Mus musculus: one gene and its partners. The protein of the gene in region 5 interacts with the protein of the main gene of each other region in a pairwise test. Links are inferred from orthologs where the notes say so. Each region holds a gene or a part of one and is shown on either strand. Other genes may lie near its edges.

What was found.
Region 1: the proteins of Trim54 (region 5) and Cchcr1 interact in binary tests that used the Homo sapiens proteins (3 or more experiments, as listed by UniProt). The link is inferred for Mus musculus from reciprocal best matches to the Homo sapiens genes TRIM54 and CCHCR1.
Region 2: the proteins of Trim54 (region 5) and Tbc1d22b interact in binary tests that used the Homo sapiens proteins (3 or more experiments, as listed by UniProt). The link is inferred for Mus musculus from reciprocal best matches to the Homo sapiens genes TRIM54 and TBC1D22B.
Region 3: the proteins of Trim54 (region 5) and Ttc23 interact in binary tests that used the Homo sapiens proteins (3 or more experiments, as listed by UniProt). The two-hybrid records come from large-scale screens. The link is inferred for Mus musculus from reciprocal best matches to the Homo sapiens genes TRIM54 and TTC23.
Region 4: the proteins of Trim54 (region 5) and Rabgef1 interact in binary tests that used the Homo sapiens proteins (3 or more experiments, as listed by UniProt). The two-hybrid records come from large-scale screens. The link is inferred for Mus musculus from reciprocal best matches to the Homo sapiens genes TRIM54 and RABGEF1.
Region 6: the proteins of Trim54 (region 5) and Arhgef5 interact in binary tests that used the Homo sapiens proteins (3 or more experiments, as listed by UniProt). The two-hybrid records come from large-scale screens. The link is inferred for Mus musculus from reciprocal best matches to the Homo sapiens genes TRIM54 and ARHGEF5.
Region 7: the proteins of Trim54 (region 5) and Ccdc146 interact in binary tests that used the Homo sapiens proteins (3 or more experiments, as listed by UniProt). The two-hybrid records come from large-scale screens. The link is inferred for Mus musculus from reciprocal best matches to the Homo sapiens genes TRIM54 and CCDC146.

The regions. Positions count from the first base shown.
Region 1 is NC_000083.6:35,515,868-35,520,298, reverse strand, and holds the start of Cchcr1 (coiled-coil alpha-helical rod protein 1), read right to left. Parts: upstream 3,047-4,431; 5' UTR 2,558-3,046; coding exon 2,360-2,557; exon of another isoform or gene 2,335-2,359; intron 2,149-2,334; exon of another isoform or gene 2,083-2,148; coding exon 2,016-2,082; intron 1,921-2,015; coding exon 1,707-1,920; intron 1,158-1,706; exon of another isoform or gene 107-1,157; intron 1-106. Other genes in the region: Tcf19 (transcription factor 19-like protein), read left to right, coding at 4,184-4,421. UniProt on the Homo sapiens protein: May be a regulator of keratinocyte proliferation or differentiation.
Region 2 is NC_000083.6:29,598,265-29,602,080, reverse strand, and holds part of Tbc1d22b (TBC1 domain family member 22B), read right to left. Parts: intron 2,243-3,816; coding exon 2,115-2,242; intron 1,936-2,114; coding exon 1,840-1,935; intron 1-1,839. UniProt on the Homo sapiens protein: May act as a GTPase-activating protein for Rab family protein(s).
Region 3 is NC_000073.6:67,664,383-67,668,198, forward strand, and holds part of Ttc23 (tetratricopeptide repeat protein 23), read left to right. Parts: intron 1-2,780; coding exon 2,781-2,904; intron 2,905-3,816. UniProt on the Homo sapiens protein: Participates positively in the ciliary Hedgehog (Hh) signaling.
Region 4 is NC_000071.6:130,170,044-130,174,625, reverse strand, and holds the start of Rabgef1 (rab5 GDP/GTP exchange factor), read right to left. Parts: upstream 2,808-4,582; 5' UTR 2,732-2,807; intron 2,636-2,731; exon of another isoform or gene 2,336-2,635; coding exon of another isoform or gene 2,289-2,335; intron 1-2,288. UniProt on the Homo sapiens protein: Rab effector protein acting as linker between gamma-adaptin, RAB4A or RAB5A. Involved in endocytic membrane fusion and membrane trafficking of recycling endosomes. Stimulates nucleotide exchange on RAB5A. Can act as a ubiquitin ligase.
Region 5 is NC_000071.6:31,115,168-31,119,643, forward strand, and holds the start of Trim54 (tripartite motif-containing protein 54), read left to right. Parts: upstream 1-1,444; 5' UTR 1,445-1,742; coding exon 1,743-1,910; intron 1,911-4,476. UniProt on the Homo sapiens protein: May bind and stabilize microtubules during myotubes formation.
Region 6 is NC_000072.6:43,264,358-43,268,621, reverse strand, and holds the start of Arhgef5 (rho guanine nucleotide exchange factor 5), read right to left. Parts: upstream 2,979-4,264; 5' UTR 2,879-2,978; exon of another isoform or gene 2,820-2,878; intron 1-2,819. UniProt on the Homo sapiens protein: Guanine nucleotide exchange factor which activates Rho GTPases. Strongly activates RHOA. Also strongly activates RHOB, weakly activates RHOC and RHOG and shows no effect on RHOD, RHOV, RHOQ or RAC1.
Region 7 is NC_000071.6:21,302,482-21,306,297, forward strand, and holds part of Ccdc146 (coiled-coil domain-containing protein 146), read right to left. Parts: intron 3,121-3,816; coding exon 3,032-3,120; intron 2,937-3,031; coding exon 2,772-2,936; intron 808-2,771; coding exon 583-807; intron 1-582. UniProt on the Homo sapiens protein: Essential for sperm flagellum biogenesis and male fertility.

The DNA of each region.
Region 1 (4,431 bases), on a different chromosome or scaffold from region 5:
AAGGAGGAGAAGGAGGAGGGAGGAGGAGGAGGAGAAGGAGGAGGGAGGAGGAGGAGGAGGAGGAGAAGAAGAAGAAAAAGACGACTATGATGACAAAGTCACTCACGTTTCCCGATGGTGTCTTCCACTTCCCTTCCTGATTTCTCAGTTGCCAGGGGACTTCCCTACCTTGCACTATGTCAGCAGGCTGGCATCTGTCTTCTCTAAGACTCTTTCCCAGGCGTAACTGGGATTACAGGCACTCACTGTTACACCCTGCTCTTTTGGTGCGGGCTTTTTCCGTGAGTGTTTGGTACATTGCACAGGGAGTCTGAGGCGTCTGCATATCTGAATTGGTTATGTGGAGGCTCCAGAGGCATCTCTGTCCCTGAGAATGGCAGGATTTCCTTTAACTGGAGGCTAGCAATGACTTGCCACAGTTCCTTACAATCTGTCTCCTAACATGCCCCTCTGACAGAATGACACCCCAGGACACTGGGGGAAAGACACAGACGAAACAGAAGTAAGAATGCTCATTCACACAGAGCCGAATGTCCACAGGGGCTGGAGAGCCGGCTCGGGGTGCTAAGAGCGCTTGCTGATCTTGCAAAGAACCTGAGTTCAGTTCCCAGCCCCCCACATTCAAAGGCTGACAGCTGCCTGTCACTCCAACTACAGAGGATCCTTCACCCTCTTTTGGCCTCCAAGTATGAATGCTCACACACAATCATACACACATAAATAAAGTCTTTGTTGTTGTTTTTTCCAGACAAGTTTTTCTCTATGCAGCCCTAACTGTCCTGAAACTCAATCTCTAGACCAGGGTTGGGGCCTTGAACTCAGGGATCTGCCTACCTTTGACTCTCTAGTGCTGGGATTAAAGGCAGACCATACTAAGCTCAAAAATAAAATTCTTAGGGCTGGAGAGTTGGAGCAGAGGTTAAGAGTTCTTTAGGGGCTGGAGAGATGGCTCAGCAGGTAAGAGCTCTGACTGCTCTTCCAAAGGTCCTGAGTTCAATTCCTAGCAACCACACGGTGTCTCACAACCATCTGTAATAGGATCTGATACCCTCTTCCGGTGTGTATAGGAGTACAATGTACTCCTATAAATAAAACTAAATAAACCTTAAAAAAAATTTTTTTTAATAGTCTTAAAACACACATTGACACCAGGCGTGGTGGCGCACACCTTTAATCCCAGTACTCGGGAGGCAGAGGCAGGCAGATTTCTGAGTTCGAGACCAGCCTGGTCTACAGAGCGAGTTCCAGGACAGCCAGGGTTATACAGAGACACCATGTCTTGAAAAAACAAACAAACAAAAAACCAACAAAAAACAAAAAAAAAAAAACAAATAAAACCACATTCACAGAGCATAGCCAGCTCCAGTTGCACATTCCTGTAAAGGCCTGCTTAACTACTCCAAAAGGAGCCAGTATGCCTCTGGAGAACTGGGTCAGCATGTCTAAGCTGCACGTCATTTTGCTTTAAAACAGCTTTTGCAGAACTTATCCCCTCCCTTAAGACATTTACATTCCTTATGTAATGAGAATTTAAGTCCAAACATCTATTCTCACTAACCCCAACGCATGTGGTCTATGCGTCGTAGGGGCCAACAATGGCCTATAGAAAAACCACACAAGTTATAGAACCAGGGGCTGAAATGAAGGCATGCGTGTATGAAGGACCATGTGTCAGTCTGAGGAAGAGGTGATTGGCAGATCCCTACCTGCCTCTCCGCCCTAGCCCCTGCCCATCTCCACAGAAATCCTGTCCCCACGTGGTCACTGTCGACCTCTGAGCATCTAGCCGTCTCTCTAAGACATCTTGGCTGGCCGGAGATTGGACCAAGGGAACGTCTGAAGCCCAGGTCGGGGCCATTCTTGGCAGAGTTGGAAGGGGCCGAGCTTGGAAGTGGGAGGGAGGAACCAGCCCAGCAAAACCTGAGGGGGTCACAAGAATAAAGACTGTCAGATTCTGAGAGAGGGGGAGAGGGAAGAGGGAGATGATCCTGGTCTCCTTGACTAGCCTCACTGACCTGACGGTGGCAACATCTTCCTGTTATATGAATCCTGTAGCTCTTGTCTCCAGTCACCTATGTTCCCCTGGACAATAGGAGAAACAAGGATACTTCAATTCAATTTTTCAGGCCACCTTCCAAAGAAAAAGCCCTATAAAAACAAAGTCATAATCCTTAAGTTACTGACAGGTCTATCGGGCTGTACGCTTCTCTTTTCCTACTTCCCTAAGGCACACGGTAACCAAACCACTTGCTTGTCCCAACTACGCTCCTGATAGAATGAACCAGGCAACAACCCTAAGGTAAATTTACTGAGACGAGGCTTCCTTCTACTTACAGGAATGTGGGTGGTGTGCCTTTACCTTCCTCCTTAAGTGTCTACGGTCCCTGCAGCTCAGGACTCTCTGGACACAGTATAAGGAGCCCACTCTCCACAGTCCTTGCCATGGAATGGTAGGGCCGTTGGGAAGCCCATCTAGGCACCATCGAGCCAGGATTTCTGAGTCATTTCCTATTAAAGAGTTAGCCCAAGGCCTGGTCCGGGAAGAATGAGGCCACATGTGGGGTTAAGCGTCTTCCCTAGGATCCCTGAGGAATCGGAGCAGCCGGGAGCCCGTTGCTGGGAAGCCAGCTTCCTGGCAACTCATCTGGGCCTCTCTGTAACGGGCCTCAGTTGCTCTCTATCCCCTCGGCTTCCATTCCCGATGCATCTCTCTTCGGAGTCCTACAGCATCTTCTTTCCCCCACTTCCATCAGAATTCAAGTTTTTGGGTTTTTTTTTTTTTCACTCAACCCCCGCGATTCCTACCCGTTTCTCTTCCTAGACCTAGTATGAGTCTTTTTCGATGGAATTATCTTGGTCGCTCCCTGTCCTGTCTCCCCCACTTCTCTCCCGCACACACCCCGGGCTAATCCCCGTCAGGACCCTGAACTCTGAGGCTGTCTTGACCTCCTCATCTATCCTTTGACCCAGCTCCTGCACCCCTCTTGCCCTGTGGATCCCCTCCGCCCCCCTTGCGCCCCCTCTCAGACTCTTCCCGCCCCCAACTGACTCTCCCCGAACGCCCCTTACCCAGCGCGAGATCCGCCCTCTTGCCACGCCCCTTACACCTAGCACCCAGTCTAGACGCCACACCCAGATCACGCATGCGCGGGGCGGCGGGCTGCTCTACAGCTCCATTTCTCCCTACCGGAAATAGGAAGAAGAAAGGTGCAAGCAGGCACCCTGACGCCCCAAACTTTCTCCGCGCCCTGACGGCCCCTCCTCTCCCCGGGAACCCGGGAAAACGTGCCGGCCAATCAGAAGTGGCGGAGAGCGGGAGATGAGCAACTCCCCCCTGCGCATCGGCCAATAGAGCAAATGGGTGCAACTCAGATGGCCAATCAGAAGCAGCCGGCGGGGGGGCGGGCTCGCGGGCGCGAAGTCGGACCCGGGAATTCCGAAGGAGGAGTCTGCGCAGCGCGCGCGCGCGCCTTCACCCAAGCCCCGCCTTCGGGGCGGCTTCCTTGGCTGTCAAACCTCGGCGGGAGCGCGGGACGCAGGGTACGGAATCCCTTCCTCAGTTTACCCCGCGAGCGAAAAAAAGAAAGGGTGAGATCCACTTTGTTACAGAATTAGGGACCCGTCTGCGCCGCCCTTTGCGGGTGACAGTGGATTCACTTCCCTTAGGGGAACTGATCCGAAGAGCGGGGGTGGGGGGGAAAGATGGAAGGGGTGCGCTACTTGGATTAGAAAGTTTAACCATAAATTCCCTGACTCCAGGTTACACTTAGGGAGAAGACCCGTGTCACACGCACGTTTGTGTACCAGGGCCCCTTCACCCCCTCTGCCTGTTCCCAGTTGCGGTTTAAACTAGCTTTGCCTTGCACAGATTGTCGGAGGCTCCCGGATGTTGAGCCGCCTGAGGATCCGGCTTCACTGAGGTGCCACAAGACGTCTTCCTGGTTTTGCATCGCATCAGGACTTTACTGGAATTGCTTTTTAAACCTCATCTTGACAGCCTCTGTCTTGGTGCATATCCAGGCCTCTGGCGCTCTGAATCTGCACTGCTTAAGTTGGCATTAGGCACAATACTTAGCTGTTGACATCAGAGAGAACTGAATTGAAGCCCACGGTGCATGACCCAGGAGTAGGAGAGGGAATGGACTTCTGAGGTGGGCAAAGTGGTGCAGAGGGGGCACCCCCCATGCTGCCCTGTTTCCAGCTGCTGCGTATAGGGGGCGGCAGGGGCGGTGACCTCTACACCTTCCACCCCCCGTCCAAGTCTGGCTGCACCTATCGATTGGGCTGCAGGGCCGACCTGTGTGATGTGGCCCTGCGGCCCCAGCAGGAGCCCGGCCTCATCTCTGGAGTCCATGCGGAATTGCATGCTGAACTCCAAGGGGACGACTGGAGGGTCAGCCTGGAGGATCACAGCAGCCAAGGTAAGCAATG
Region 2 (3,816 bases), on a different chromosome or scaffold from region 5:
ATACAAGAAAAGAAAACGAAGGGAGGGGAGGGGAGGGGAGGGTGGATTTGTCTTCTTGAGCTCTGTGGCTGAGGTCTAAGACACCTGTGGCCTTGCACAATCGTATTAAACTCTGACCAGCCCAAGCCTGATGGTTCACACTTGCAGCTCTGCACTCTGGGAGTTTTGGTGGTGGGAGGGAGGAGGAGGAGGATAAAAAGTTCAGCGTCATCCTCAGCTACACGGGTGGTTTGAGGCCAGCCTGGGCTACATGAGGGAGGATGGATATATCTATATATCTATATATATAGATAGATAGAACAGGATAGATAGATGGATAGATAGATGATAGATAAACCATCTCTTATATGCATTTAAAAGGACTGCGATCCCTAGGCCTTGAGCCCCTTGCTCCTGCTTCTTCTTATCAGCTCTGAGTACCAGGCAAGTTCAGTCTGGGGTCAAGTTCAGGGCAGGGCCAGCTGTCAAGAGGCCTGACGTCATAAGGGAAGTGGACATTTCAAGCCCTCACGGACTCTTGCATAATCCCTCTCCCCAAAAATCCTGCTTGCTCACTGATCTGCTTCTTCTAGGACCTAGACTGGCAGCAGAGGGCTATCTAGGCCTCTAACTGCCAACTCAGATACCCGGTATTCCCAAGGCTCAGGCCTGGCAAGCCAGGCCCCACCTGCTTTTGCAAATGGCATTTTAGTTGTTGAGCCATCTCTCCTGCCCCTTAAACCAAAGGCTTCTAAGTTCATGTGTCTAGTCCACCCTGGCTCCTAGAAGCTGAGCCACAACATTAACATTTGTACATTTATTTACCTAGGCATCTCTATTTGTATGCATAAAGTTCTTTCTCTTCTTTTGCAATAGGGCCTCGTGTAGCCTAGGCTGGCCTTAAGCTTGCAAAAGAGCTAAAGATATACTTGAACCCCTAACCTCTCCCTCTAACTTTCCCGAATGCTGGGATTACAGTAGGCACCATCACACCTAGCTGACATTTCAAATCCAACATTCCCAACACCGAATCCCCGAACTCCCTACCCCCTACCCCTCAGCCTCCATCCCGGAGTCATTCTGGTCCATCTCTCTGTGTCACAGTCCAAACACAGCCCATCAAAGAGCCTGGGCAGTGGATACAAAGGACCCCAAACACGGCCATGTACACCTCTGCTGTCACTACCCATAGCCAGACCCCTTGGAGAATGACAGCAGTGTCCTGGGTGGCTGCTGTGCCCACACTCCCCACCTCCAGCCACTGCACAGAGAAGCAGAGTGGCCTTCAAGGGCGTACCCACTCCATTCCTAAGACCTGCCAGGAACAGCTGGGCGCTCACAGCAACTTCCTGCCCTACCTGCCTTCTCTGACTTAGCTTGCTCTGCTCTTCCTCTGGCCACCTATTCAGGCCTCGTTTCATAACCCCTCAAACTGCCAGGCACACAGCTGACATAAAGCCTCTAGGTCAGTCACGCCCTCTGCCCCAGTGGCCATATGGCTTGCTCCCTCACCCTCCTCAGGCCTCTGCTTAAATGTCGCCTTCTTGGTGAGCATATCCTGACTGCTTCCTTTGAATGTGCAGCCTCCCTTCCTACCGCTAAGGATCCACACAGGTTGCTGGGCCTTGCGGTAGTGTGTACTTAACCCCAGAACCTCTGGCACCCCCGTGACTTTGTCTACTGCCTGTCTTCCCTCAGCATGTGGGCTGTAAGAACGGCCCTCTGCCCGCTTCACTTCCCAGGACGTCCTGGGCCTCCGTAGTGACTCACAGGCCATACCTGTAACCAACAGCCACGAATGAGTGGATGATGAGTCTCTCGGGCCCGTGCGGCCACTCCGCAGCCCTTCTGCCCACTCACCTGAAAGTCTTCCTCATCCAAAATCTCCTTCCTCCACTTGATCAAGAAGGCGGCGCAGACATAGAGATGGAAGTGCGAGAAGCCTTCTGGCTCAGACTGGGAAAGAAAACGAGAGTCAGGTAGGCCTCAGGGCCCCAACTGTGAACCTCTCACAGCTTAAAACCTCTTGTGTGACAGAGAACATGGGCTCAAGAGATTCCAAAGGCAGACACAAGACGAAGGTGGGTGGAGAGGCTTCACGGGGATAGCTGGGAGAGGGAGGGGTCCCTCCATACCTGGTACGTGTCCCACAGGCGGATGGTGCAGCGTAGGGGAAGTTCCCGCATCAGCAGGTTGTTCATCCACCGAAAGGCAAACTGCAGGTACTCCACCTCGTACCTCCTGAAGTGACTGTGTACCTGCTCTGAAAGCGGCACCAGGTCAGAGCTACCAGCAGGCCTCAGGGGCCAGGAGCAGGTTCTCTTTCTTACCAGCCCCTCCCACTGTGGGCTGACCTTTGACCCCCCAGTGCCACTCACGGCTGACGTCAGCACATGGCCTATGGCATGCCAGGCATCTCACCAACCCATTCCCAGGTGCCTGCTGCCATCCTGGCAATGCACTGGCCATGAAGCAAGAGGCATGAGGTAAACTTAGCTGCTTGGGCCTAATCATTCTTCAGGGCAGGGCCAGCACGGAAAGGGAGCCTGGAGGCCACCTTGGCCAGCTGCCTTCAGCATCCCTGACAGACGGCCAGCAGAGGTGGCTTCTTTCTCTTGGGTTTTTGTTTTTGTTTTTGTTTTTTTCGAGACAGGGTTCTCCGTATAGCCCTGGCTGTCCTGGAACTCACTTTGTAGACCAGGCTGGCCTCAAACTCGAAATTCGCCTGCCTCTGCCTCCCGAGTGCTGGGATTAAAGGCATGTGCGACCATGCCCGGCGGCTTCTTTCTCTTAGGAGGAGACTCACCAGGAGATCATTCTACAAATTCAGTAGAAGCTAGCTGCCACCTGCCACTTGGCTCCTGCCCTGGAATCTGCATCATATCCTGAGCAAGTTAAACAAGCCTGGTCCCTACCCTGCATGACGGCTTCGAAATTAATGCTCGACAGGTGGGCTTTTTGTTACTGATGTTTTAGGATGCGCTTGTACTAAAAAACCATGCAGGCGTGTGTCTGCGCGTGGGCATGTGCATGTGAGTATATGTCTCTGTGTGGGCACGTGCACATGAGCACAGTCAGGGGCATCAGAGTGCCAGGAGGTACAGACAGCTGTGAGCCACTGCAGCTGGGTGCTCAGAGCTGAACTTGGGGCCTCTGGAAGAGTGAAAAGGGCTTGTGACCCACGAGCCACCTCTCCAGCCCCGCTGGTGGGATGCTTTTAAATCACGGTCTTCTCATTTATGAAATGGGGCAATCGGAGGTCAGCAAATGGCTCAACAAGGAAAAGGCATCTACCATCACGCCTGACAGCCTGACCCCGGAACCCACCTGACAGGAGGAGGTAACAGACTCCTGGGCATTGTCCTGAAGCCCCCTCCATGAGGTGGCATGTGTGTACCTGTCCCCAGAAGCGTTGGGGTTCTTCATGTTTTGTTGGTTGGTTTTTTTGTTTGGTTGGTTGTTTTGTTTTTTTTGGTTTTTCGAGACAGGGTTTCTCTGTGTAGCCCTGGCTGTCCTGGAACTCACTCTGTAGACCAGGCTGGCCTCGAACTCAGAAATCTGCCTGCCTCTGCCTCCCGAGTGCTGCCACCATGCCCGGCGTTTTTCATGTTTTAATGAGGATTAAGTGCTCACATTTCAGAGGGCTTTGGGGAGGAAAATGAGAAGGTGAGTCTGTGCAATAATGCCTGACTGCTCAGTCCAGGGCTTCAAGAGGAGCAGTAACAAGGGTCGCTTAGGGGGCATGGGGACTTGCTCATGAAGGGATTGTGAGGTGGTTGTTGTTGCTGCAGTCTTTCTAATGAGAAAGTACATAAATCATAAGAGCATGGTGCACAT
Region 3 (3,816 bases), on a different chromosome or scaffold from region 5:
AACGGTACAAGCCATTTCTTGTTTCTGTGGTTCCAGTAAGGATGCCTAAGATATGACCGTGAACAGGATGGAGCTAAGGGGGTCACTGCCTGTAGAGGACTGTGGTGTGGGTAGGGGGGAATAGAGTGGGTCCGTCTAGGGTCGGGTGGGCCATGGGAGGATGTAGGACCAGTGAGCAGAGGACTAAGGAAGGAAAGAAGCAGCACGGGGGAGGTGGGGGCTTCAGGTGAGGCTTGAGTGTGCAGAGAGGAAGCCATGGGCCGCGATGACTCACAGGTGGAGAGGCAGGAGCTCAGGGAAGACCCTGCGGCTCACGAGCTGAGCGCCTGGCAGGATCTAACGTTTCACCAGGGCCCACCTGGAAGAACTCGCTTGGAAGAATATCCATTTCAATGTCACTTTTTATTTGAAAGTAAGTTCAGACTTACAGAAAAATGATGGCCCATCAGTTGTCAGCATTTGTTTTATTAGTTTATTTGCATCCTTATGGTGGCACGGAGCCACGGCCCGGGGTGTTCACTTAGAGCTCTTGTTTCTGTTCTGTCCCCCGCACTCTTCCCCCTTACAAGCGTCATTTTCCTGAGCTATCTGAGAACAGGTTATAGATACTATATATAATATGTAAGCTATTATATATCTATATATTACAAATAAAGTATAATAATTTCACTCCCTAACCACATAACACAGTGATTGAAATTAGGAAACTAATATTGTATAATACAGTCACATAATTTGTTAAAAAGACAAAGCAAAGAGCAGCTCCATTAATAGATGTGAGTCTAGCTGCAGGTTCTCTTCAGTCTCTGTCAATCTGCTGCGGGTTCCTAGCCATCTTTGCCTTTCCTGCTCTTGAGAGTTTGAATTATATATTCCAACTGTGTTGTAGGATACGTCTTCCCTTGAGTTTGTATTGTATTTCCCATAGGCGGGCCTTCACATCTCAGCATAATCAAGACAATGCCCCATAGACATGCTGACCAGCTAAACCTCTGGGCAATTCTGTCTTCTGTCAGGTCAACAGTTAGCATCGACCATCAGCAACGCTGGCAACTGTCCCTTCCTCGTGGTCTCTGCGTGGAGCTAACTCAGGCTCGCTCACAGCTTAGTGCTTGGTCCTGTGTTGGTGTGCTGGGGCTGCAGTAACCAAGTGCTCAGGGACAAGTGCTGAGGGACAAGGGACTTGAGCAGCAGGATGCTTCCCTGCTGTTCTGGAGGATAGACTTCTGAGCCTGTGTCCTGAGCCTGTGTCCTCGGCCTGCTGGTGGCTGTGCCCTTTGTGTCCTTACACGGTCATGGTGCACAAGGACGCTGGGCCTCTTCCTCTTCCGGAAGCCATCTTGGACTAGGGCCCTCATTTTATCTTAACATTTATTTGATTTTTTATTATTTGTGTGTGAACTCTGAGTGGTCTCTGAGCCACATACTTAAGGTCCTGTGTAAGAGCAGGAAGCACTCTTCACCACTGAGCCACCTCCCAAACCCCAGGGAAGTCATTTTAACCTAGTCCTCCTATAAGTCCTCATCTCCAAAGTCAGCTTCACTCTGGTATGCAGGAAGTGAGGACTTCCACGGAAGACCTTGGAGGGAAGCCAGGAGTGGTGGCGCACGCCTTTAATCCCAGCACTCCGGAGGCAGAAGCAGGCGGATCTCTGTGAGTTCCAGGCCAGCCTGGTCTACAGGGAGAGCTTCAGGAAAGCCTGGACTATACAGAGAAACTCTGTCCTGGAAAAAATAAAAACCTGTTCAGGCTCTAAGAGTGACACACACCAGGAAGAAACAAAGTGGAAACTCCTAATTCCTGGAGGTGTGGGCCTGAAACCTGGCAGTGCCTCCCTTCCTCCGTGCTGCAGCACCGGTTCAACAGGAGGAGACGCAGGCCCATCTCCATCAGAACGTGTGAAACCAATGTCAGAGCTTTGCTTGAAGGCATCTTTTCTTGCCTTGAATGCTGCCCTTGCTGGGAAGCATGGCTCCCTCTTTGTCCTGACCCTGACTACAAATGTGCTTCTCCTCTGGCTTCCCACCTGAGGCTTACTGGCCTCACTCTCTTCGCTAATGTCACAGAAGATTGTTGCTTCTTCATTTCTGTGACAAAAGCTACCTAAAGAGAACAGGGCTTGGGGGTCACAACTTGGGGGTGAACGGCATCATGGTGTCGGGAGCAGTTGATCATGTAGCATCCAGTCAGGAAGAAAATAATAAAATAAAAAAATGAATGCCAGCATTCAGCTTGCCGTATCCTTTGAATTCAGTCTAGGACTCCAGCCTGTGGGATGGAGACACCCACACCTAAGTTAAATCTCACTGGAAACACCGGCAATCAGACCTTCCCAGCGGTGTGCCTCCTAGGTGATTCTAGACCCATTGAAAGGGACAAAAGGGACAATGCTCATTATCACAGCTACAGAGGACTGCTGAGCTGAGAGCTAACTTTCCCCAGGAGCCGATCACTGCAGGAGCCGATCACTGCAGGCTAGCTAGAAGACCTCAGAGGTGGTCCGTGTCTGTTCTACCTGCCTAGTTTTCCTTCATCCCACTACATTCCCCACCACTAAAGTGTATGTACCTCTTAAATGAGTTGCTGTTTGCTTCTCGCAACCAGATGACCACTCTACTGCCCCAGCAGGTGGTTGTTTGAGTCTCTGGCACTTCCCGAGCGCTCAGCACATAGCAAGCGCTCAGGAAATACTTACTGGGTAGATCTACACACAAGCAGCCCTCGTGACTCTGGAGTTCCAAGCTGTCTACCTGATAAACTCATTTTCTTTTTCTAACAGTACAAACAGGCCATCCAGGAGCTTGTGCGCTGTGTGGCACTAACAAGAATTTGCTATGGCGACTGGCACTGGAAACTAGCGGAGGCGTATGTTAATCTGGCTCAGGGTTACCTGCAGCTGAAAGGTGAGCTTCCCGGGCACCAGCCAATGGGCTTCTGTTCTCCCTGTCCCCAGACTTATTCACACCAGAGGGATCAGGGTTTTGTGGCTCTTAAGAAGTGATTGCCTTTAGGAAGAATCATAAAGGTATGTACATATAGGTACCGACAGGAAGAAAGGAAGAGTGTGGTGTGGGTTTTTTTGTGGCCTTATTGGAGTCCTTAGTGGATAATCTGTTGGATCAAAAGATGGCAGGAAAGAAGCCAAGACATGGAATGGAGGCTTAGAGTGGGAGTGGATTCCATAGTTTTCTTGAGAGGGGAATGGGGTGGGAAAGACTCACTCTTGAGTGTAAGTAGCTAAAAATGAAAGGGAGTGGAGGGGGGCGTAGAGGGAGGGAAAGAGAGAGAGAGAGAGTGATTGATTCGCTTTTGAGTGTAAGTGGCCAAAAACCGAAAGGCTAACCCAAGCTGGCATTTGCCTGTACAACTTTAAAGTCCAAGGTGAAACTTGATTAAAAAGAATATCCCACCCACCAAGAGAATCCCAGGACTTTGGAGGCACCACATTTAGACCACACTGGAGTATATATCAAAGTAAGGGTTTTTGGTTCTCCTGTGTACTGAGAAGGGAGCTGGTGTTGGCCAGCTCAGAATGTGCAAGGGTTGAGCATCATAGAAGGAAAATAGAAGGTGGGGATGGATGCAGGAAGGATGCGGCGTGTTCTACATGCTGACTATGCTGGCTGGCTCGCACGAGCTACATATCCTCCACACTCAGGTGATCAGCTGAAGAGCATGCCAGGATGTTGGTGACATAAAGCCCCCCTCCCCCAGGATCCAGCCTTATGACTGGAAAGCACCACAAGACCAAACTATTCCTATCTGTTAGTCAAAGGCCATTAGAGTAGGGTCGGGGCGGCACATTAGAGATACCT
Region 4 (4,582 bases), about 99 Mb from region 5:
TTTCCTGTTAGTGGGAGTCAATCTTAGTAATGAGTACACGATTCAATTCAAATACTTAATCACCAGAAAAGATGGCCAAGAAAGACAGTCCCTAACCCAGAACTACCTTGGACACAATCATCTTAAACCATACAGCAGCCTCTGTGTGTGTGTGTGTGTGTGTGTGTGTGTGTGTGTGTGTGTTTGCTTAGAAGTTATCTTAACCTAAGGATGACTTTGCTTCATACCCTCCCGTGGCTCTGTCACCAGCACAGAAAAGCCCCACACCCAGGCATCTCTGCCCTTCAGCATTCTTCACGTAGCTGGGTGGTCTCTTCTCCTGGTCACTGCTCCCCAACACACACACACTCACCTGCCTCCAAAATTCCCACTCCAGCTCACTGGTTTGAACTGTTACACATTTTTCAACACTTTGGGAAGGTATTTATTTCCTGGTCCCTTCTTCCATCCTCCACACTTCAAAAGGTTGGCTGGTGCTCTGATCCTCAGGGCTCTAGCCTAGCACACACCATGATGAAATTCTGTGGGAGATTTTTGTTTTCTTTCTCTGTCGTGGTGGGGATAAAACCCAAGGCCTTGGTGCAAACTAGGCAAACATTTTACACCTTAAGGATCTCTACTGTCCACTATCATGTGCAAACTGGCACCCCTGGAGCCTGGAAAAGGGCATAGATCCCCTGGATCTGGAAGTTGGACAGTTGTGAGCTACCACGTCCAAACCAGGATCCCGTACAAGAGCAGCCAGATCTCTCAACCAGGGAGCTAACTCTCCAGCCAAGATGTTGTAAGCAAGTAAAGATTCAAATCCTGGCTGCACCTTAACCCTTTGATCAGGAACCACTAAATCTTGGAGACTCTTAAGAAGTTTACACACATGTCTTGGAGGTATACTGTCCTTTAAAGTGTCTCTCTCTTCCTTAAAGCCGGGGTTTAATTCTATAATAAAACTGTTTCTTAATAAACTCCAACTTCATTTCATCAAAGGCAAAAGGGGGGGCTGGGGCAAAATAAATGGCAAAAATAAAGTACTTGCCACACAAGCATGAGAACCTGAACCAGGTCCCCAGTCCCCACACCAAAAAAATGTTCCCTGTAGCTTGTGGGCTAGCTAGTAGTAGTCTAGGTGAATCCAGCTCCAGGTTCACTAAGAGCCTGTCTCAATGAAAGTCAAGGCTAGTATGACACCAAGGAAAATAGCTAACATTTGCTAACCTCTGGCCTCCACATGCACACACTGTGAACACACATACCAAAAGAAAAGACAGGCAAGGCAGTGGTCCACACCCGCAATCTCACCACTTGAGAGGCCTAGGCAGGCGGAATGCTCCAAGTTCAGAGTCTTGCCTGATCGCCTGATCTACACAGCCAAAGCTGTATTGCGAGACCCTGTCCCCCAAAATAAACACACAAATCAAAATAAATAAATAATCCCCCCAAACAGTAACTCTCAGAGGCTGAATAGAAACTGGGACTGTAGCTCAGTTAAACAGCCCCTATCTAACATGTGTAAACCTTAAAGTCAGTCATCACCAAGTAACAAGCAAGCTTCTTCTCCCCCCAAAACAGTCTATGTAGCCTGGACTGTCCTGGAACTCACTCTGTAGACCAGGCCTGTTCAAACTCATAGAGATCTGTCTCTGCCTCCAGCATTCTGGTATTAAAGGTGTGAGCCACCGCCACCACCGCCCAGTAACAAGCTTGACAAGACCATTTTATTTTAGCCTCTTCTTTCTTTTAACTGCGACTCTGGTGGGCGGGAGGATCGAATATTACTCTGTAGTATAGGCTGGCCTCAAACTCACTACATAGCCCCGTTGACGTCAAAACTCCCAAGACTGTTGTTCCTGACTCAATTTCCAAATACTGGGATGTCAGAAGTGGGTGACTAATTGGGTCTTCCTTTGAAAAGTAATTCTAGGTTTGTAGGTTAAAAGACCCAACAGTTAACTTCCAGGAGGTGGCAGGGGGTGGGGGGACCATAGGGGCTCTTACCACAAAACTAGGTGACGCTGTAAAACTTATGCCAGTGTCACATCTAAACTCCACAGACAGACCGAGCCTACCACATCCAGCAACACATTTCCCAACCACAGAGGTTGGTCATCAGCTCTGAGACACAGCCAGCTGCCAATGACCTAGTCTCCAAGGCGCTTCCCTCTATGGAGCCAACTTCCGCGAAGGGATGGAAGGACATCCCCTTGGCTCTCCCTTCCAGACAGCTCGGAATCAGGGACTGCCTTTATTATTATTTTCCATAAAAGGGTCTTCCTCAGTGGCAGAGGGCTGACCTCAAAACTCGCGGCAATCCTCCTGCCTCAGCTTCAGGACTTCTCATTCAGAGACACCCATAACCTTGGCCTCTAGCACCTGGGACGAGTATTCAAAACCCCGCGCCACAGCAGCCGCACCAGCCCCGGGACCCACGCGGGCTCCGGATGGGACCCGCCCGGCTGCAACCACAACTCCGGACTCGGACAGGATCGGAGCGGCAGCCGACGACCGGGGAGCGTGTCCTCCCGGGAGCCCGAGTCCCGCCGAGCTGGGAAGAACTCGGCCGAGCTGGAGAGGCCGAGAGCAGCAGCAGAGCTCCGGCGGCCTGGCCCTATGCGCCCGCCCGCCCTCCCGGCTGAGAGGCGGAACGGAGCGGCCCCGGTCAGCGCGCGGCCGGACACCGCCGCCGCCGCCCCGCTCCGTGTGGGAACGCGCCTCCGGAGCCCCCGTCCCTCCGAACCTGCTCCGCGGCTCCGCCGGCGTCCGACCGCCGCTCCCAGCGCCCCTTCAGTCACTCGGCTCCCTGCCCCGCCCCTGCCCCCGCACGCCCCGCCCCCGGCACCGCGAGCACGCGCGCGGTGCGTACGCGTGGCGTCATTTCCGTGACGCTTCGGACTTCCGGGGACTGGCTGGCGGCTGGCCGGAAAAGATTGCAACGCTCCGGAGGCTGTCCACCCGAAGGGGCAGTCCCTGAGGGCAGGGGACACCGAGTGACCGTGAGGCCCTCGCTGACGTGTCTGTGACTCGCGAGAAGCCGCGGTTTCCCCTGTCATTCCTCATTCCGTCTACCAGCTTCTGCTTGCATTAGCCTGAGGGCGACAAGGAGCCCCGAGGACAGCCATACACGAAACGGGACATCAAAGTCTGGGACCAGGAGACATCTCCCAGCGCTTAGCGAATGCGGCCGCCAGAAGGAAATACAAACACACCTTTCCCCTAGTGAGCAGTTAGCAGGGAATAGATAGTCAGGAAAAAGATCGAGAGGGAAAAGTTTAGCACATGACTGCCTGTCTGTAAAGATAGATAACGCTCCCACTGGACAGTTGACATGCCACCTCACTAGCTTTTGTTATCTCCCTGGGCCAAGAACCGTCGGGGTGGAGGAGATGAAGTTATAGGATAGGGGAGGAGAGAATTCAGAATGAACCCTACAAATGAGCAACCCAGAGTCCGTGAGACTGGCTCTCAGCTCTGGAAAAAACAAAAAACAAAAACAAAACACTGTTCCCAGCAGAATTTTTTTTTTAACCCCTGTCTCAATAAATGCCTGTTTTCACCTTTTCTGACTCTGCTATTTTGTTTTTCACTCCTGGGCACTCGTCCATAGAAAGAACCTGGTCACCTGGGCAGATGGCCCACAGAAATGAACACTCCTGGCTTGCTCTTTTTAAGAGCAGGACTTGAAACTGATTCAATTTAGGAGAATCTTAAGGAAATTGGTCCAATAGCAACTAGGCTGTGATCCCAGCCTGGCTAGGTGGAGACAGGAAGTTCAGGAGTTCCCATCTCTAGTGTTCTTGGCCTGGGCAAATATAAGGAAGGTTGTGGGGTATAGCTTTATAATGAGAGCACATGATGATGCAGGAGTTGTGAGAATAAAAGGATCTTTCATGACCCAGCTGTGCTTGGCACAAGGCTGTAGGGTGCCAGACAGGGTCAGGTTGGCCTAGGGAAGTGGCTCCAAGTTGGATGTTTAAGGTCTATGAAGATTAAAGAAAGACACAGACAAATGAGGTGAAAGCGAGTTTTATGAAAGAGGATTACAAGTAAAGAGGGCCAGAGAGATGTTTCAGTGTGTAAAAGGTTTCCCATTCAGGCTTGACAACCTAAATCCAAATCCTGGAACTGACCTGACAAAAAAAAGAAGGAGGGGATGGAGAGATGACTCAGTGGTTAAGAACGGTGGTTGCTCTTTCAGAGGAGCTGGGTTCGATTCCCAGCACCCACATGGCAGCTCACAACTGTCTGCAACTCCAGTTGCAGAGGATCCAATACCCTCACACAGACACACATGCAGTCAAAATACCAATGTACGTAAAATAAATAAATGGTTTCAACAAAAAGTAGAAGGAGAGACCCAACTAACAAAGATGCCCACTCACCTCCATGTAAGTATCATGGCATCCACACACAATAATCATAATGTAAGGAAACATGAGGAAGCCTCTCCTGTACATTTACTACTGAAGGGGGGAAAGCTTTTGGCATCAGTGAAAGATAGCTGGACAGTCAGGTTGGTGCCAACTGCCCGGGAGCTTGCTTCATCAGGTTATCTCAAACCGGATTGCAGACATCTTTGTTTCTCATCCCT
Region 5 (4,476 bases):
AAACCCTTTCCTCCCCAACTTGCTTCTTGGTCATGATGTTTGTGCAGGAATAGAAACCCTGACTAAGACAGGGCACCTCAGAGCTGTTGAGAAATTCCATCACATCCCTCTCCTCCTAGAAGAGACAGGATAGAGAGTACGTAGGCTGGAAGGAAGGGGCTAATTAAGCCCTTACTACCTCATTCCCTAAAGACCAGCCAATTTAAAGGGCACACTGTCCCACCAATCATAATGTGCCTAGTTGCTGATGCTCTATTCCACCCCTGGAAACCATATAAAAACTTATGGAACAGGCCGCCTGGGGTTGCCACCTCTCCTTCAGGTGTCATTCTGAGAATGACAACCTCAGAATGCTGGAACAATAAATTATTCTTGCTTTTGCATCGATCCCCAGCTCTGAGGGTCCCCCAGTAAGCTAAGGCTCGTCAGACTCTTACAACACAAGAGCCTGTCTTTAATAAGGGAGAGGGAAGTGTATAGTGAGATTGTTCATTGGGTAAATGTACTTGTCATCAATTCTGATGACTCAAGTTTGATTTCTGGGACCCATATGCTGCAGAAAAGGAACTGACTTGTGGGGGTGTCCACTGTCCTGTGACCTCCAGGTTGCACCCACCACTCCCCAAAGCAAATTAGTGTGGGGTTGTTTCTCTGTAAAGGCTGAGCAAGAACAAATATGGGGCAGACATGGGTCAAAAAGTTCTCTCTCGGCCGGGTGGTGGTGGCACATGCCTTTAATCCCAGCACTTGGGAGGCAGAGGCAGGCGGGCGGATTTCTGAGTTTGAGGCCAGCCTGGTCTACAGAGTGAGTTCCAGGACAGCCAAAGCTATACAGAGAAAAGCTACAAAGCTATACTGTTTTAAAAAGAAGAAGGAGGAGGAGGAGGAGGAGGAGGAGGAGGAGGAGGAGGAGGAGGAGAAGAAGGAGAAGAAGAAGAAGAAGAAGAAGAAGAAGAAGAAGAAGAAGAAGAAGAAGAAGAAGAAGAAGAAGAAGAAGAAGAAGAAGAAGAAATAGAAGAAGAAGAAAAGTTCTCTTTCTTGGTCTGGCATTCCATTTCTGAATCATGCACTCTCTAGGAGGGCCGGGATCACTGGCTAAGCCTGTGGAGGAAGAGATGACACCAGATCTACAGATCTATCCAGACCTTGCCCCCCCACTTGGGGCCATCTCTCCCAAAGGCTAGTTTAGACTTTGTTTCTGTTTGGAAAAAGGTCCCAAGCCAGAACATGGAGACCAATGTTCACAGGAGCCTTCCCAGTGACAGCAAGTGAGCCCCATACCATTCCTAGCCACCCCTTCCTGAATGAGTCAGGGCCACTCAGTCCGGGGACAGCTGTGGCTCACCTTACATGAGCTAAATTGGGAACTGGAATGTCACACGGATGCCCCTTGTGTCCCCACCCCCACAGTAATGTTAATCTCTCTAGGGAGGAAGGGACAAACAGTGCTGCCCAAAGAGTGACCAAGAGGGTGGTTTGGGGGGACAGGAGGAGAATTTCACAGGGCAAGATAAAGCTACAAGCGCCTGGTGAGGGTTCTGAGCAAGGAGTGTAGACAGAGTGTCTGGAAATAGACAGGGGTGAGAGGAGCTGTTAGGGGAAGGGACAGGACTCTTCCAAGAGGGAGCAATAGCCGGGATCCCAAGAATCCAGTCAGCCTAAACTGACCGAGGAAGGGTGCACAGGCAGGGGAGAAGGCCAACGACAGGGCCACAGCGAGGCAGGCTCCAGAGCGCCGCGGGATGAACTTCACGGTGGGTTTCAAGCCGCTGCTAGGGGATGCGCACAACATGGACAACTTGGAGAAGCAGCTCATTTGCCCCATCTGCCTGGAGATGTTCTCCAAGCCCGTGGTGATCTTGCCCTGCCAACACAACCTGTGCCGCAAGTGTGCCAACGACGTCTTCCAGGTGGGCTCAGGGAGGGGTGGGTTAGGTCACAGAGGGGGATGGGGTGGGTGCCCTCCGCTGGGAGGGAGGGGCTGAGAGGTAGGAGAGTCAGCGTGAGTCAGCAGCTGCCCTGAGGCTGGTTAGCCCGACCTGAGTCTATAGCAGCCAGGACCTGCAGAAACTGGAAAGGAAGAGAGTGGTCTTGCATAGGCTTTGTAGGAGCTTGGACTAGATTTCATTCATTTTAAGGCTTTGATTTTTTTTTTTTTAAAACTCTGGAGAAGAAATCAACGATATATTGAGATGTGTGTGTGTGCATATGTGTTGGCTAGTGTGGCTACCAGGCCTCAACTTGAAAACATAAATGATGGAAAGAGAGAACTGACTCCCGAAAGTTGACCTCTGACCTCCACTTATATGAACACAGACAAACAAACAGACAGACACACACACAGTTTAAAATAATAACTGGGAATGGTAGTGTATACCTGTAATTCTGTAATATTCAATATAAATTCAAGACTACCCCAGACCTTCCCCCTTCAAAAGGACTTTCCAGACTGTACTAGCAGGCCAAGTACAGAGGCAGATAAAAAGCTGGCTGACTAAACAAATATAGAAATATAGTTTTAACGGTCAAAATTACTAAGCTTCCAGAACAAGTTTAACAATCCCCCCTGTCCCGCCTCACACTAAAAACCTCAAGGACAGACAAAATGAGAGTCACCCTATACAAACCAACCAATGTCTAAAAAGGTTATTGGCTACACCAATTAAAATAAGCCAAACTACCCTGGTGCCTATATCCGGCCTTTACCAAGGTATAAAAAATGTGTTCTTTCTTTGTTCTGGGTCTCTTTCCGGCTTGCGTGCTGAGAGGGGGTTCCCCAACATGTTGGATAAGTAAAATCCTCATGCGTTTTGCAATGATGGCGGCGGTCTCTGTGGTCTTTGTGAGTCTTTTGTCAAGCTACACTAATTCCAGCAGTTGGGAGGCTAAAGCAGGAGGATTGTCATCTTTTGGTTTTGTTTCTGAGACAGGGTCTCTCTATGCAACCCCAGCTGTCCTGTAGCTCACCATTCAAACCAGGCTGACCTCAAACCCACAGAGATCCTCTTTTTCTTTTTTTTTAAAGAATTATTTATTTATAACATATGTGAGTACACCATAACTCTCTTCATGCATACCAGAGGAGGGCATCAGATCCCATTTCAGACAGTTGTGAGCCACCACGTGGTTGCTGGGAATCGAACTCAGGACCTCTGGAAGAGCAGTCATTGCTCTTAACTGCTGAGCCATCTCTCCAGCCCCACAGAGATCCTCTTGCCTCTGCCTCCCCAGTACTGGGATTAGAGATGTCACCACCATTCTGGAAATCAATTGTCATTTTTAAAGTTAACCTTGATTACATAATGAATTCTGGACCAACTTGGGCTACAAAACAAGACTGTTTCAAAAAGTAAATTAAAAAATCTAAAATTAAAAATTGTCGGTAAATCTATGAGAAACCCTTCAATGCCAGCAGAACCGTGTGTATTCGAGGCAGAGCCTCTCTGTCCATGAGGGTCTGATTAGACACTGGGCCAGGGCAGCAGGGGTCTCCCCAGTTTCACTACTGTGATCCTTCCTCACCTGGTAAAGACTTAGAGGGTAGCTGATATTCAGGCAACTTACAGACACCATAACTCTCTTCATGCATACCAGAGGAGGGCATCAGATCCCATTTCAGACAGTTGTGAGCCACCACGTGGTTGCTGGGAATCGAACTCAGGACCTCTGGAAGAGCAGGCAGGCAGACAGACAGACAGACAGACAGGCAGACAGACAGAAGGCAGAAACAAAATTGTACTTCCCAGAAATGCCTGGGTATCTGTGGTCATGAGGCCAAGCACAACTAGGTGAAGTCACCAGGACTATTTTGTCCACACATTTCAAAAATAAAAACAAAAGATCTGGGCTCAGTGGTACATGGCTGCAAACCCAATCCTTGGGAGTTTAAGGCTGGCTTGGACTGCAGGAGACCCTGCCTAGCCAGCTAACTAACTAACTAACTAACCAACCAAATAAATAAATACATACACACCAGAGTCCTTTATACGTTCACAGGCTTGCTTTCCAGCTCTGTGCCTTTGGTGGAGCTCTGAGTCGGTTGTGACTGGATCAGAGGTCGGGGAGAAGGAAGGAATAGAACTCACATGCACAGACACGGGACCTCGCAGATATAACTTGGCTCTCTTGGTGTTGCAATCTGTGATAGGAAAATCAGGAATATGCTTCCTGCCAGGAGACAGGCTCTATGGCACATGCCTGGGATCCCAGCGAGGAAGGGACATCACAAGCTGGAGGCTAGCCTGGGCTATGTAGCAAGTATGCCAGAATAGGTGTATAGCAAGACCCTGTCTCAAAAGAGAAAAAAAAAAAAAATGTCAGGGGCTGGAGAAATGACTCGGTGGTCAAGAGCATTTGTTGCTCTCCCAACCAACTCAAGTTCATTTCCCAGTTTTCTTGTGGTGGCTCACAACCATCTGTAAGTCCAGTTCCCAGAGCTCTAGGCTCCCTTCTGATCCCCATGGGTACCATGCATGC
Region 6 (4,264 bases), on a different chromosome or scaffold from region 5:
CACATGTTAAATAACCTATTTGCTCACTGAAACTTGCTCCTACCTGCCTCAGAAAACTATGTGACAAACCCTGTTATCTTTCCTCATCAGCATCTGTACTGTCTGGAACCCTCTCTCCAATATCATCATACCCTTAGAAGAAGGGTAGTGGCATGCCCCTTCAATCCCAGCAATCAGGAGGTGGAGCCAGCAAGATCTTTAAGTTTGGGGCTAGCCTAGTTTACTAAGTGAATTCTAGGTCTGTCAGAACTACAAAGAGAAACTCTGTTTCAAAAACCCAGGAAGAAGGAAAGAGAGAGAGAGAGAGAGAGAGAGAGAGAGAGAGAGAGAGAGAGAGAGAGAGAGAGAGATAAGGGAGGGAGGGAAGGAAGAAGGAAGGAAGGAGAAAAAGGGAAAGAAAGAAAGAAAGCCACTTAATTGTTTATACCCCAAAGTTAGCACATACTGTTAGTTCTTATATTTAATTCTAACTTAATAATCCTATGCAAACAGGCATGACCCAGCTAGAATATGGATAAAGCTAAAGGAAATCTGTAAAACATTCATATGAAGGCATTAGAACGGAATTTTTTTAAGCTACCTATTCCGTTAAGAGATGAAACATCCTCATATCCCTCTCATCTGGGATGACTAATCACTATTTATCTGCATACAGGGAGAGACAGGGCACAGCACCACAGGGAACTGGTTTCTCTCCAGACCAGAGACATTTCACATCTTCAAGACCCCATAGACAAAGCTCCAAGTGATCCCATTAACAGAACAGTGCAGAACACAGTAAGACCTCCACAGTCTCACAGAGACTCCACAACCAACACTTTAGCTCTTGTCCATTTCTAATTATCCAGGTGTAAAAGGATTTCAAAGATACCCTTCCTTACCTCTTGGGATTGCTTCTGCATTTACAATGGCATCTATACTTCTGCCTACAGTAAGAAAACAAATCTCCCACTTGGAATTTGGAGGAATCCAAAAGATACCCTCTTCATTTCATTTAGCTCATATAATCACCACATAGATATGTACTTTGATTTAGTGTTTGACATTACTACCCTCAATATTCCAGACACCGAAATAAGTATAGTATGACACCAGTGTTATAACTTGTCCAACCAATCCAGTAAAGAATGGAATAAGCACCTTTTTACCTATTGTCCAATGTCTTAGACAATATCATGGGTTGTCTTAGGGGCCAGGTGGTCTTATATAAGAGCACTCTTAAGTGAGGATGCTTATGCCCTTAGGCCTACCAGTGACTATGGGGCCATCCAGTCAAACAAGGTGTGACTTGTTTGTCATTGGCATACAAATGACATTGTGTACTTTACAGACACTCCAAGTGGCCAGCTTACTCTACACACATTGCAGGTACAGGGTCCTGTTTACAACACAGGCTAACACCTGTTTGTGTCTATACCATTCTCTACAACATTATCTCAGGAGATCGCACTTCTGTCCACACCAGGGTAAGTGACTATTCCAGACACCACAAATGACGTCTATCCCAAAGACAGGCAAGTCCATAACGTGACCACACACAACTTCAGACAAACCACATTATGGGCAGCCATACCCTCCAGGGAAAACAGATATATGAAAACTTTGGCTACATCTTCAATTTCTGTATTCTTTTGAAAAGAGGTACCCCTTCACATTCCTTCTGACTTGTCCCTCCCAATGCTTACATCTCTCTTTTACCACAAACTTAGAATTTAGAAGCTGTCTGTCCTCTACTCAGCCTCCCCCTTGTCCCCTCCAAGTCCTTTTAAGGTCCATGGGTTCTGTCTTAGACCCGAGGACTGGTTAACAAATGATGACTGTTTTGATAGAGCCAGAAGCTTGCATACCCCAGGTGTAGATAAAGCAGGAAGTGTGGGAAGAGGCCACACTGGGGGCTGTTTCTCTGGGACTTGGTGCTTTTGAAGTAAAGCTGAGAGCACAGTGGGAGAGCAAGGGAGGAAGGAAGCTGAAAGGAAAACCACCCTCTCAACTCTCCAGTTTGGTGTGCCCTTCCCCCTCAGTCTGACACAGCGCTGGCCAGAGTTCACTGCTAGGCCGACAGGAGGACAAGATTGTCCAGAGAACCCAAGATCCAGGAAAGGGGGAGGGGAAGAAGACTTGAAAACTGAGGCTCTAGGGCTAGCTCTCCCGGATCAGTTCTGGAAAAAGGCATTTATAGAAGATGCCCCAAACTAGGGCTCTGAAAATGGGCTACCGCACCGCGATATTCCGAATAGCTCTCTTACACGTTCCTTAGAACCTTGTGCCGAGGCCAACAAGAAACTCCCTATACACAGGTAAATGGGGGAGAGGGAACTCAGGGCAAGGATCCCTGATTCAGATTTCAGAGCCTTAGTTAACAGCGGAGAGAGAGGTGTGTACATAGATTCACACATACGTAGGCATGTAAATGCCGCGAAGATAACGAAGCAAGGCCCAGGCCTGGTTACAAAAGAAAAAAAAAAGACACTTCCAGGTAAGGAACCGTCTAGAAACTGAATCTCAAGAATTCTTTATCATAGGAGTTAGCTTTCCCCAGGGCCCCGACTTTCCGGGTGGAAAAAAGTTCTGATTATTGGCCCGGGAACATTGCGGGGCAGGGTGCCCATTTCCAAGGCTCAGACCTGGTTGGAAAGCAAAGTTTGCCAGGAGGCCATTCCTTCCAGCTCCCTTCCCGGTCCCGACCAGGTACTCAGCCCCTCACTCGGAGCCCGGCCCACTGGCCCAGCCCCCCATTTCCGGAGTCTGCGCCCCGGGACCTGGCCGGGACTGGTCCCGGGGGAGGCCTAGTTCTCTCTTCTTTCCCGCCCCTGCCTTACCTCCACCCGGCTCCACGACCACCCAGAGTCCGGGGCTCAGAAGAGAAGAGAGCACCCACCTGGTCGGAGTCACATGCTGCCCCGGGCTGGCCCGAGAGTCCCCTCCAGGTCCGGGCGCCCGCCGCGGTCCCCAGCCAGGCCAGGCCGCCCCGGCGCCCCACCCGCGGCCCGCCCCTGCCGCCGGACGGGAGGGAGGGACCGGCTTCTCCCAAGGAAGTTTCAGGTGAGGAAACAGGGACACACCTTCCCGGGGGAGGGGCAGCTCCGGGCAGAGCTGGGAAGAGCGAGCTCCGCGGGATTGAGCTCTACCCACAGCACCGGCAGGCCGTGGCCGTCCAGGGGCAGAACCCAGGCAGGAGTCACCAAGGAGCCGCAGGAGAGAACTGGGCACGGGACTCGCCGGTGTCCGGCGTGGCCCTAGACTCCCCTGCGTGTCTCTTCCTCCGTGGGTCCTCGTCAGGTCTCCAACTGAGGCTCATCCGGACCCGGCTGACTTTCTGCCCCTCGATGTTTCCGAACATCTGAGATTTGGGATTGTCAGCGTGTTTCTTTACTTGGTGTTTGCCATAAGATAAAGGGTTCTTGCACAAGTTCTTCTGTTCCTGTCTGTATGCTTCTCTATCTCTTGTCTCTCCCTCTCTACCCCCCTCTCTCCTTCCCATGTTCCTCTCTCTCTTCACTGGGTGCATGTGAAACATTCTTATGTCTTTTCTGTAGATAGCCTCTGTTTGCCACCATGTTCCAGAGTTCATTTTAAGATCTTATGTCTCAGTTTGTATGACCCTCCTCTGTTCTTTCCAGTATTCGGAGAGAGAATACACACACACACACACACACACACACACACACACACACACACACCTTTACCTAATGACAGGAACTTTGGATGTTCTGTCCACAGGCTCCCTCCCCAAACCCATTCCTGGCTCTGGGGGGTACCATAATGACTTTTTCCCCAGGAGAATTAACAGGCTCTTTGGCTGTTTTTCTTTTAGGAATGCTGTGGCCCACAACTGCAATCAGCTTTTGTGGGTAGACTGTCCCCTGATCCCTGTGTCCACCGCTGCTGCACTGGCCCTGGCAGAAGAGGCTAAGCAGTTGTTTGGAAGGCCCTGCAGAATCAAACATGACCAAGGGAGAAAGGCCTCCTCTCTGATAGTCCCGAAGCAATGCAGTGTTCAAAAAATGCCCTAGTTCCGTCATGCTCTTTTGGAGGATTAAACTTTAAAGAGTTTAGCTAGCTTAGACACACTCATAATTGCAGTGAAGTATACAGGAAATAATAAGAAATGCCAAGTCTAGGATTCGGCCATATAAGGGCAGGCCAGCATGCTTCATAAACCCAGCAAGGGCATAGAACAAGGAGTGAAGAGAATCTGAAAATTAAAGCTGGTCAAAAAGTTCCTTCTAGACTGGGAGAGAAACCCTAAGGACTCAGAAAGTCC
Region 7 (3,816 bases), about 9.8 Mb from region 5:
TGGTGGGGGGCGGGGAGAGGGTATTAAAGAGTAATATCCTGTTTGTGGCTGCTTGCAGCTTAGAAGAAATATGTCAGTCCTCTATGCCTTAGTTAATCGTGGGGAAAATGAACTATGAGAATAGGTTGATAAAGCCAAGTCCTGCTCAGATGGAGCGAGGTTACAGAGAGTGACTCACAGCAGCTGATGCAGAAGGAATTCAGTGTGAGCCTAGAGTACAGGTTGTCAGCCTGTGGGACGGGACCCCCATCGGGTCACAGATCAGATATTTACATTATGATCCATAACAGTAGCAAAATTACAATTATGAAGTAGCAGCGGAATAATTTTGTGGCTGGGGAGTCAGCACACCTGAGGAGCTGTATAAACGGGCCACAGCATTAAGAAGGTTGAGAACCACTCTCCTAGCACTTCAGAGATGACTTTGTTCTTCAACTGCCCCAACCTCCCTGTTATTTCCCTTCCACAGGCAGCCTGTCTTGTCTTCATGGGAAACCCATGGCTCCCCCCGAAGGGTAAAGAACATGGCTACCTCTCAGTAGGGTCCCGGGCACTCAGCCCAGCCACATTTGCGACCCTTACCTTTCATTCCGCCGCTGTACGGCCTTCTCATACTTCTTGCGCAGCTGCACCATCTCCTCTTCGATCACGGTGATCATGCTGGCCAGCCTGTCCATGCTGGTCAGCTGGGCCTCCTTCTTCTCCTTCATTTCCTGGAGTTTAGCAGTGATTTTGCACACATCGTTCTGTATGCTCTCCTTGATGGTCACATTGTTGGAATGCTTTAGCATGGCGTTTTGTAGCTTTCTTTTAAAATAATGGCACAGTGGGGAAGATCATTACTCTCTTCAAGAATACTGAGATGTCTGAAGAGCAATGCTCACCCAGGACCTCCCAGGACACACTTTCTCTGTTGTGGGATCCTTCCTCTAGCCAGGTGACCAATACTGTCATTGTGTCAACCACTGTGTCACACTTGTTTGTGAAAAGGTCTTTTTCTGCTCTGTCACCTCAGGAGACCGAGTTCTGAGGACAGAGGTGCTTCTATTGACAATGCCTATTGGATCTGCAGACTCACATGGGTCAGGTTGGATGATATCATACGGTATTCTAATTTCCTTTTGGGTAAGAATCTGACTAGGGAATTTCCCTTTTCAATCGTGCTTTTTAATCAGGGTATTTGATATTATCTTTATCTAAGTCATCTGGGCAATGATGGCTAACAGAAAAATCCAGTTATGTAGTCTCAGGAAATCAGGAACCAAGTAGGTGGAAGATTCCAGTGGATCTTGGCATGTGGTAAACAATATATTTCCAAGACTACAATTTCTCAGGTGTTATTTCTGATGTTATTACATAGACAAACTCATTTGTCATTATTGTGTAGTAACAAAAGGTTCTACACACTAATGAGGAGGATTATAAAGAAAGGGTCCTGAGAGGTAGAGTATCTCGCCCAAGGTCTTACAGACAGAGACGGACAGAGCTGTGAGTTGAGTCTAGAAAGCGTTGTCTTAGCAGATCTGCTGTAGCCTGCCTCTCCATATGCACATCACATGCCTTAAACCTACAACCGGGGGATGCTATCCAAGAAGTGATTTGTCTCCTAACTTCAAATGCAGATAGCAGATTTATGCTTCATTTCTCAATCGAGCAATGAAAGTCAGCAGTTCATCATTAGGAAAAATAGTTTTATATTAAGTTTTGCATTCATTAAAAACTGTGACTACTAGATGGAGAACAGCAAGGATGCTCAGACACCTAGGTTGTTACCTGAGAAGCAAGGTGGAGCAGGTAGTTTTGTCTACATGACTTTGTGCTCCTGGCCGGGTGCACACGATCTGAGATAGCGAATAGAAAACACACACACACACACACATACACACACACAAGCACACACGCTTGAGCACCTTGGCTAATTCAATGACTGGTCACTCCTAAATCTTCCCAGGCCCAACCAGGGAAGTGGCCACTTACCTTAAAACTCCCATGGTTGGCCTTTTTTTCCTGCTGTTATCCCCTTCTTCTCTTCCTAGTCTGCCCTGCCCTCCACCCCCTACCCCTGTCCCCAGTTCTCCCTGCATCCTACTCCACTCCCACAATTTTCACTATGTTGCCCCTCAGTCATTGGCTACTGGCAACTTTATTGATGTATCAAAAACCAATTGATGGCAAGGACCTTCAGTGTCAACAAACACAGATTTCCGGTTAAATCAAGGTTTCCCAACCACCATCTACAGCAAGGTATTTCCCCATCTCTGAAGACTCCCAGGATAGTCTAGAGTGCCAGAGACATAGAAGACAAGGCTTTAGAAGGACACAAGCTTCAGAGAACCGTGGACTTGGCCTGGCCTAGCTGTCTTGGGAGGCACGTGTCATAGGCTTTTCTGGTTAGAGTCCACAGCTCCGGGGGTACAACATGCCTTCCTGTTCCTGAGTGGCCATGCACTCGCTCAGGCAGTAAACAAACATTCTGTGTGTCTCCGTCCGTTCCTTTAAGGTCAAGGAAGCAGGGAAGCTTGACAGGACAACTGATCTTAGGCATTAGCATTAAATACTCTCTAAAGTTTGCAACTGTCATTGTATCCTGGCAACTACAATTGTATCGATCCTGGAAATTGCCACTAGATTCTGTTTCTGATAATGTATAAAACATCTGATTGGTCTCAATCAGATTGTCACAGCCTCAGTGTTGCCGTGGCCCCTCCAGCCGGCCCATCAGGTAACCTGATCCGATCCCTTAAGCAAGCGTGGGTGCTTATGACTCCTACCGTTCTTGAGAGACAGCGCTGTTCCTTAAGATTTCCAGCTCATTTAATGACATTTTGAGTCTTTCTTTTATCTCATTTACTTTCTGATGAGCTTTGTGAAGTAGGTTTACAAATTTGTTTCTTTCATTTCTAATTGTATCATACAAGCTGGCAAATTCTCTGAGTCTGAAAACATGAGATGGTTTTTGAAAATTAAAAAGCAAGTAACACTTTTGCCCAAATAACTAAATCGTGATTCTTTTTTACCAAATTCTTTTTACCTCCTATGAATTTCATGCTTTCTCTTCTTGTATAGCCTGATTTCAAGGTCCTTTGATTTGATTTCCTTAACAATCTCACTATATCTTCGCTGAAATGTAAAAATTCATGTGAGAAATAAAACAAACAAACAAACAAAAAACCCTAACAACAACCAGAAAGCTAGGTGTAATGGTTCATGTCTGTAATGCCAGCATTTGGGAAACCAAGGAAGTAGGGTTGAAATGAATTCAGGATCAGCCTGCAATACATAGTAAGACTCTATCTTACACTATCAAAACCACCACCACCAAAAGCCACGAGATGAGACTGAGCCCCACTCCATCCCATCTGTCAGTTCTTCTTAACTTGTTGTAGAGATGAGGAGAACAGGAGATTCCTAAGCACCCCCTGGCCAGCTGGAGTGATTCCCATCAACTAGGACAAGGGGATACTTAAGATTTCAGAAGAACTGGAGAGGACGAAATAGTCCACACAGACAGGGGGGATAATTGGGGGAGGACTACTGAGGAGGAGTGACTGCAGCCTGCACTGCCCAGCCAGTCGAGCTCTGTGCTTACAGAGGGCAATGAAGAGGACTTACAGGAAGTTCGACAAACATCATGACCTGAACCCTCTGGAATTTTGTGAGAGACTGAGGCAGTGTTTTAAAGTGTAGTTCTGTCCATTTGTTTGGATGTGTGTTTTCCTTTATAATAGGCATCATACTGAGACTAGCTGTAAAACTGTACATAAATATATTAAAAAGAAAACAGTTATACCTTCAAAAGTCACATATATATGTATG